Neurospora crassa OR74A: one gene and its partner. The protein of the gene in region 2 purifies or fractionates together with the protein of the main gene of each other region. This does not show direct contact. Links are inferred from orthologs where the notes say so. Each region holds a gene or a part of one and is shown on either strand. Other genes may lie near its edges.

Evidence for each region. The genes of interacting proteins can lie anywhere in the genome.
Region 1: the proteins of NCU07870 (region 2) and mus-27 purify together in Schizosaccharomyces pombe (affinity purification with western blotting; 3 studies listed by BioGRID). This does not show direct contact. The link is inferred for Neurospora crassa OR74A from reciprocal best matches to the Schizosaccharomyces pombe genes pol1 and mcl1.

Annotation. Positions count from the first base shown.
Region 1 is NC_026502.1:3,504,125-3,508,355, reverse strand, and holds the start of mus-27 (chromosome segregation protein), read right to left. Parts: upstream 2,801-4,231; 5' UTR 2,671-2,800; coding exon 814-2,670; intron 750-813; coding exon 1-749. Other genes in the region: NCU08485 (WD repeat protein), read left to right, coding at 3,254-3,291, 3,352-4,231. UniProt on the Schizosaccharomyces pombe protein: Has a role in regulating DNA replication complexes. Acts as a regulator of post DNA replication initiation. Associates with chromatin during G1 and S phases of mitosis. Required for the transcriptional repression of the outer repeats of the centromeric region.
Region 2 is NC_026503.1:1,182,422-1,186,572, forward strand, and holds the start of NCU07870 (DNA polymerase alpha catalytic subunit), read right to left. Parts: upstream 2,801-4,151; 5' UTR 2,626-2,800; coding exon 2,337-2,625; intron 2,246-2,336; coding exon 1-2,245. Other genes in the region: NCU07871 (hypothetical protein), read left to right, coding at 3,409-4,151.

The DNA.
Region 1 (4,231 bases), on a different chromosome or scaffold from region 2:
CTCTCGTCCTCCCCGGCCACCCTCCTCTCACCCACCTCTCTGATCTTCTCCCCTAATATTCTCCTTCCATACCTTTCCGCGACCTTACCCGCCGCCTCAATCATCCGCCCCGTCCTGTCTTTCATAAGTTTCACCACCTCCAGTGCCCTCATCCCCCTATCCTCACCCTCGCGGCACTCAATCGCCAGCAGCTGCAGCAGAGTCTTGTCGATATCAAGCTCCAGCCTAGCCAGCGCGGCGCGCTGCGAGGCCGTGGACCGGGAGCTTTCGAGCATGTCCGAGAGCTGCGCGGCGCGCAGGGATGAGAGAAGGAAGGATTGGGTTAAGGGAAGGGATTCCTTGGTTGTTAGGGGATCGGCGTTGTTTTCGGAATCAGAGTCGTCGGCTTCTGATGCAGAGAAATCGTTGTCCTCCTCGTCTTCACCGTCAACGTCCATAGAATCGTCGCCACTACGTGTCTTCTTTTTCTTGGATTGCTTCTTGGGCTTCGCGGAGGTGAGGGGTACGGCAAAGTCGAATTCGGAAAGCAAGGGGCGAGGGAAGTAGGGGTATTGGTCGCCACCCTTGAGGATGATGCAGTGAAATTTGTGGTCGGCGACAGCGATGGGGAAATAGGATTCCTTTTTGCGGCCGGAGGCGAGACGCGGGAGGAGACGGGTGTCGAGGAGGGGCACCCATACGGCCCGGGATGGACGGCGCCAGTGAAGGAGCGTGAGGAGGGTGCCGGTTGAGTCGTAAATGCAGGGGTCCTGGACCGGATGTTAGTGGATGGGTAAGATACAAGGGAAGAGGGAGAGAGGGACGAAGACGTACGCCATTGTCAGAAAAGAAGACGCTCTTCACTGTCGCGCCTTCAGGAAGGGCGACGGTGTCTTCGTTCTGACAAACTTCATCCCGCTTGATGTTCTCAATGGTATACAGCAAGCGCGACATACCGTCCGCACCCACAGGCCCGTTCCCCATAGTCAGGACGTAGTCCCTCCAACTAGCGCACGTAACCATCGGTGTGCTCTTGGGTCTGTACACCCTCACGGGAATGCCGAAAAGGGTGTATATCCTCACATAGTTGCCCGTCGTTGTCACGGTAATATATGAATCACTCAGCGACATGGCCAGCACCGCCTCACCCTTGGGCAGCTGTATGCGCCAATCATTTCTTTGCGTCCAGGTCTCATGGGGGCGGTAAAAGACCACAGCTGGGGAGCCATCCTCTTTGGGTGGGCACGAAAAAAGGCTGCCCTTGTCGTTCAAGCAGGCCTTATCGTAGAGGAAGGTATCGGTAAAGTGGAAGTCTCTGTGGAACTCGTGGTCGTAAAACTCGACGGTTACGGTATTGTGAGAGTCTTGGTCAACGGTCCAGACAAAGCCGATCAGGTTCAAGCAGAGATATTTCCGGTTGCCGCGCCATGGCGTCGATCCAGGTTGGAAGGAGGGATGGTGTTGCGGTTGGACAAAGTTGCCACGCTTGGCAGTGTGACTCTCGTAGATCGCATCGTCTTCGGCTGGGCGTTTGCGGCCCGCGTTGAGGGTGTATCCTGCGCCGTCATCGTCCACCACGAAATCGTCGTCGTCGCCGTAGTTTTCGTCCAGGAGGTCATCGAGATCGGCGTCCACGGAGTCTCTGCGTGGGCGAGCGTCGGGCTTAGGACCACTGACTTCTAAGCGGCGGGTGTTGTTGGATAGTTCGGTGAGAGGGTCGTGGATAAAGGGGGCGGGCTGCTTGGGTAGCCTGAGAAGAGAGGCGAACTGCTCCGGGACGAAGTCGGGGCTAATGTAAAGCTCTCCGTCGGAGGTTGTGAATGAAGCAAGGTTTTTGGTGGGATGCCAGCAGATATCGGTAACATTGGGATATTCGTATCTTGCGATGACACTCTGGTCTTTCGTTGACCAGATCAGAAGCTTCTTGTCCTTGCCAGCCGAGGCGAGCAGGGCACCGTTGGGCGACCAAGACAGGGCCGTGATATCTCCGTCGTGACCGCTCTTAAAGACCCGCTGCTTTTCCCAGTCGTTCTTGGAAATAACCTGAATGTCTCGTGTAGGAGTGGGTGCGGCAAAGGCGCGACCATCGGGGTGCCAGACCGCCCTTGACGAGGCTTCGGACTCTGTCTCTAGCCTGCCAATGACACCATCCACCTTGCGAATCAGCTCTGGGTGTTCGGCAGTCAAAGAGTATATGTATATGACGCCGTCGGTACATGATAGCGCGAGCAAGCTGCCCTTGGGATCGAAGGTCAAGTGTTTTGTCGGCTTTCCGTGTTCTTTGAGGGTACGGAGCTGGGTGTTGTCGTGCACTCCAACCAGCCTCACTGTAAGCTCGTCGCTGGCAACAGCGCACCACTGGTGGTCTGGGGATATGGCGACATCGCGGACTGGGAGAGAGGTTCGCAGAAGGAAACGGTCGAAGGCATTAGTGTCGAGGGAGTACAAGCTGACGGTACCGTCTTCGGAGCCGGCCACAAAGTAGTTGTTGCTGGTGGCAAGGGCAAGGTTCTGTTCCTGGCAGTCGTCGATATTCGTGGGCTCGCCTTCATAGCCCGTCTTGTAGAGTCTGGTGGTGTTGTTGGACCCGACCGTCACCAGTCTGGTGCCATCGGGGGTGTAGGCGCAGTATGTTGCTCCCGGGGGATGGGCGGGTCGTGACCGTGGTCGGGATGCGATGAGGGTGGTCATGTTGAGAGATGGCTGAGTGTATTTACCCTGGGACCATTCATTCCCTTCCAGGTTCTTCAGCCGCAAAGAGGGAAGAGGGAAGAAAAAAGAGGAAGGGTAGGTAAAGTGGTAAACGGCGTGTAAGTTACAAGATGGAAAGACGCGTCGAGCGCGTTTTCAATTTACAGCACGCGCTAGCAACTTAGGTATCGTGCCCCACCATTGTCATCCCCACGGCAGCGAGTACTGCGTAGTATACTCAGGACCCACTCATTCCACTTGGGCGCTGAACTTCCCCGCCAAATGTTGGATAGGGGTAGCTCCTCCCGCGGCCGTAGGGCTGGCTGTTAAGAATGGCCCTTTCTATAGCTGCATTTCTTAACAGGCCGCTAACACCACTTATCGCTCTAATTGTCTGCCTGTTGACTTCGAATCATCTGGAACACCATCCACTCCCGTCATTACCTCTAGGCGGCCACTTACTTACAAATCAGAAGAAGTTGCTATATTCAAGAAGAGAGCACAGTAGGAACCATTCAATCACCCACCGCCTTCACCAGAGCTGAACAGAAGAAGTCAACATTGGACATCCTCAAGCATCAAAATGCAGTCCTCAGACCCACGCCATTTCTTCGAGACCGAGTAAGTAACCAGGGGTTCCCTTAACGTCAACAAGATGAACTAGAGCCTGACATCTTGGAGTGCGGAGATTGCGAAGAGAGAGAGGAGAGAAGCCAAAACCAAGAACACCTATGGCAACCCCATCAAACTCAAGTCCAAGATCCTTGGAGCCGTTGTTGACCCCCGTGCTCCCTCATCGGCCATCTTCGTAGCCGAGTCTGCCGGATCAGTCCGGAGAGTCCAGGTCGATGGTGAGGGAGACACAAAGACAGTCTACCGCGGTCCCACGACACCCGTCAGTTGTGTAGCTGTGGGTGGCCCCGGCAACAAGACCGTCTTTGCCGGTGCCTGGGACAAAAACATCTGGTCCTGGGACATTGATACCAAGGCTCCGGGCCGCAAATATGCTGGTCACTCGGACTTCGTCAAAGCCATCGTTTGCGCAAGGCTGGGCGGAAAGGATGTTCTGGTCAGTGGTGGTGCTGACAAGAAGATCATTGTTTGGGACATTGCAACCGGCTCCAAGCTTCATGTGCTACAGGACAGCGTGGTGAACATGCTCAGCATCCAGGACCTGGTCGTCGACCCTGCTTCTTCGTCACCGGATGAGTTGTGTATCATCAGTGCCAGCAGCGACCCGCACATCCGCCGTTGGAAGATTCGTTTAAATGGGTGGGAGCAGTTTGCGGAGCCTGACCCTGCTACCCCGGCAGCAGAGCGACATACCATTCTTGAGCACGAGACGACCGTCTATAAGCTGGTCATCGATCACGACGGCGATGAGGCCGACTTGTGGTCTGCGAGCGGTGACGGATCCGCCAAATGTCTGTCCAGAATCAAGGGCTTCACTGCTGACGACACTTTCGAGCACGGCGACCATGTCCGTGCTGTGGCGGTCACAGATCAATGGGTCATCACGGCCGGACGCGATGAAGACCTCAAGGTCTGGGACCGGACTTCA
Region 2 (4,151 bases):
TTTCCTCCTTCTCCGCCTTCCTCTTCTGCGTTTTCCTCCTCGATGCGTTGCCGACCCTTGAAGGTCTGCTTGTCCGGGACGACATATTTGTTGCGGTGGAATTCGTGAAGCAAAATGTACTCGTTCCGCTCAGCACGCGTACCGGTAAGTGTTCTTGCCCACGAGTTACCAGCCAGGTTGGTGAGAACCTTGGTAAGAGGAAGAATTTGAGTCCTGAGTGCAAGAGCCGCGATGAAGTAAGTGTCAGTCTCGGCGTGGGAGATGTAGTCCATCAAACCATGTTTGTCAGCGTTAGCCCACGTCTTCAGGGCGACTTCGTTGTCGATATCCCTCCTACGACTTTCGCCTCCCAGATACAGACTGCACATCTCGGTCAAGGACCAGGTCTGGCACTTGGTCATTACTGATTTACCGGCATCGTTAGCAAGATCGCATAGCAGACGGCCAGACATTATCTGACGTTCGGCAAATACATTGCCACCCATCTTAACAATGGACGAGGGCCACTGAGAGCGCCTGAGTCTGCCCAAACGAGACCATTGATGTGTCTTTTTCTCGTGCAGCCGGTTCAGCAAGATGCTGTAGTCAACACCTTCTAGCTGGTGGCCAAGGATAACGTCTGGATCGACAACATCGATCTGTGCGAGCAAGAAATTCAAGATCTCGTGTTCCTGCTTGAAGAGCTTGAGCACACCTCTGTTTCTTTCCTTGGCAAGCGTCTCGAAGCCGATAGGAAATGCGCTACCGTAAGGTCTAACAGCGGTGAAACTACGAGAAGCAAGCTTGTCTGGGGGAGTGGTGTCACTGAGCGACACATCAAGGTAGACTCTCCCGCTAACCGCGAGAATCTCCTGCTTATTATCCTTAGGGTTGAACGCTGTGCGCATAGCCAGGCTTAACAACGTCAAAGGAGGAGGCTCAATACTCTCGGCGTTATCCGGGACCGACACCATGTTGGGATGTTCTACCAGGACCTCCAGCTTGCAGTGCGAAGCATTCCTCAAGGAAGTGAAGTCTGCATCCTCGATCTTGAGCCAGCAGGGGCCCATGATGTTCTTCCAGAGCACAAACTGCTCGAACAGAGCGGTATTGGTACCAAAGACGTGGGAGAAGGTTTCGCCTTTGTGGGTGGGTTCCATCGCAGGCTTGGTATATGGGTAGAGGAGCTTCAAATACTGGCTCTCCTTGGGAACGTCGGGAAGCTCGAATGCGTACTTGCGGGTGCAAGCCTTGATCTTGTGCATGCCGACATTCATCTTGGTCATGATTTCATCAACCTCGTTGTAGACGTCCATCATTTCCACCTCTTCTGTTGTTTCCTCGCCACCTCGCACACGGTACTTGCGCGGCAGGAAGAAAAGCTTCCGGAGAATGTTGTCAACCTTGACAAAGCAGCTGACGTAGGTTTTGGTCTTTTTGTTTAGGACCTTGCCAAACAAGCACAAACTGCCGTTGACCTCTGTGTAGTCTGTCCAGAACATGTTCAAGCTGCCGTCTTCTTCGATAGCGTCCTTGTAGTCAATCTTGCCAACGCTCCTGCCCTCGCTTTGTGACATGGATACGACATTGAGCTTCTGATTGATCTCGTTCCAGGAAGCAGCGTCGACCTCTGGCGCTGGTGCCCTTGCGGGTGACGAACTGGCCGGGACGGGCTCTGTCTTGAGAATCTTTTTGATTTGACGGGATGCTGATATGTTGACGCTGGCGGCTGTTACCGCTCCAGTATGGGCAACCTCCATCATGTCCTCATCTTCGTCCTCATCATCCTCATTCTTTTTGGGTTCCGGCCTGCCAAACGTCCTCCGTGTTGCTACTTTGGCGGCCGGTGAGGAGGGCATGATGGCGTCGCTCATAAGATAATCGGAGACTGGTGCAGGTTCGTCGTCCATAGCAGGCAGGTAGTCGTCGTCTGGTAGAAGGTCGTCGTCTCCTGCTGGGGATGATGCCCGATCATCGACTGTCTTGGCTCTCTTTGCCATGGGTGGCCGAGGTTCCCGTACCGGGGAGAGCACCCGGACCTTTCTCCTCTCGACTGATCGATCTCGCTTCTTGGATACTCGTGTGACCGGGACGGGGATTTGTGCGGTGACCTGGTCGATGAGGTCGTCCAAGAACTTTTCATCTTCTTCTGTTTTGATGACCTTTTGTTTTGGTGGGGCTTTGACGGCGCCTTTCGTGAAGTATTCGGTGATGTCTCTGTCGTTGGCATCTCGTTTCGCATCTTCATGTTCCTTTTGTTTCTTGGCTAAGAGGGAGGAGAACGAAGGTCAGTACCAGAACCAGAGTGCTTTATAAGTTGCTCCCATCGTCGGGTTTCAGCGTCTCGATCTGCTCACACTTGCGCGGCTTGCTGCCGGGTAGGCCTAATTCCTCCTCGCTGTCGCTGTGGTACTGGGGGAGACGGTCCCATTCTTCGCGGCCGTCGTCGGCATAACCCTCGCCATTGTCGTCAACCACGAAATCGTCCTCGTTCAAGCGGTCTCTGACGATTTTCTTGTACTGGTTCTCGTCGACTTCTTCGTAGAGCTCGTCGATCTCGCCGACGTCGTAGGTCTTCTTCTTGCCGGACTGGCGCAGTTCGCGCAGCTCAGCGTACTTGTCTCGCTTGGCTACTCGTCTGGACATTTTGACAGGCCGTTGTGATGTTGCCTTTAGGATTGGAGATTGGATGGTGACGAGACAACAGAGGAGCACCAGGCCAACACTCTGGAGAGAATGTCGACGGGGCCACCGTGATGTGGTAGTGTTGGTGACAAGAGTCGTAAGAGAAATATAGTGGGATTACAGGGTTCAATTGGTCCCCTCCAGTAACAAAAAGAAAGTCGCGTTTAGTTTCGTTACTCGTCGCGTACTTTACTGTAAACTGTAAGCGCGAACCCTTGTCCCCGTCACGGTCGTGTTTAAGAGGTGGGGCAGTTCTGCTGCTTTGGCCTAAGCGGATACCTAAGGAAAGCAACGTAGTGGCCCACGTACATAGTGTACGTACCTTTCAGCAACGGGGCCCCTGTCAGTGTACCTGATGCCGACCCCCGACCCACCGCGTCTCCACAAGTGCAAAAGGCCGCGGCAGGCATTTTTGTAGATCAGTCTCCAAAATTTCGGAATGTCATCCTAACTTTTGGCCATCATTCACGGTCTCCATCTCAGCATCATCCTCCGTCCAGAGTCCAGGGCAGTTGTGCGCCCGCCGCAGCAAAATACCAAATATCGATTTCTTCCCGGGCCATAGCTTTGATACCACATCGCCCAATTCTCAAAGTTGTCTAGAACAACAGGAAATCGTCACAGGAAACTCGACGATCCAGATACCCCACCAACCGACCATTAGCAACACAGGTACCTCGGCCCGTACCTCGCAGAAGAAAAAGATTCAAAACAATCAAGGGCAAACTCGGTTGTCCGCAAACCATGTTTGTGTGCCGGGCTTGTCTGCGGAAAGGCCTGGCTCCTGGAGCTTTGGCTAGGATAAATGCGCCTGCAGTTGGATCTCGTCTGGCCCTTCCAAGGTTAGGCGCACTTACACCAAGCCAGTCCACGACCACCATACGATCCTACCACTTGCCCGCCCTCAAGCCAAAGACTGCCGCCGATCCCTCCGTTACCCTCGATCTCGAAGCGCCGGAAGGGGAAGAAGATGGAGACGGGTCGGAAGGGAAGAGGAAGAAGAGGGACCTGAGCGACGAGCAGCGGAAGAAGCTGGAGCGCAGTGCGGCTTTACAACTAAAGCACTTCAAGGATCCCTTCCACATCGAGAAGCAGGTCAAGTTGACCCTTGACAAAGGAAAATATGAAGAGGCCCTTGTTCTCACCCGCAAGGCCAGCAAGAACGCAAAGGTCCAAGTCTCGTGGAACCATCTGATCGACTACCACATGAAGAACAAGCGTCTGTCTGCCGCCATCAAGATCTACAACGAGATGAAGAAGCGCGCCCAGGTTCCAGATGCCAGGACTTACACCATCATCTTCCGAGGCTGCGCCATGAGCGAGCACCCCAAGCAGGCAGTTGCAGAAGCCGTCAAGATCTACCACAGCTTGCTCAGGAATGAGCGCGTGAAGCCAACCACAATTCATCTTAACGCTGTCCTCGAGACATGTGCCCGCGCCGGCGATTTGGACAGCATGTTCACGACAGTACAAACAGCCAACGAAAG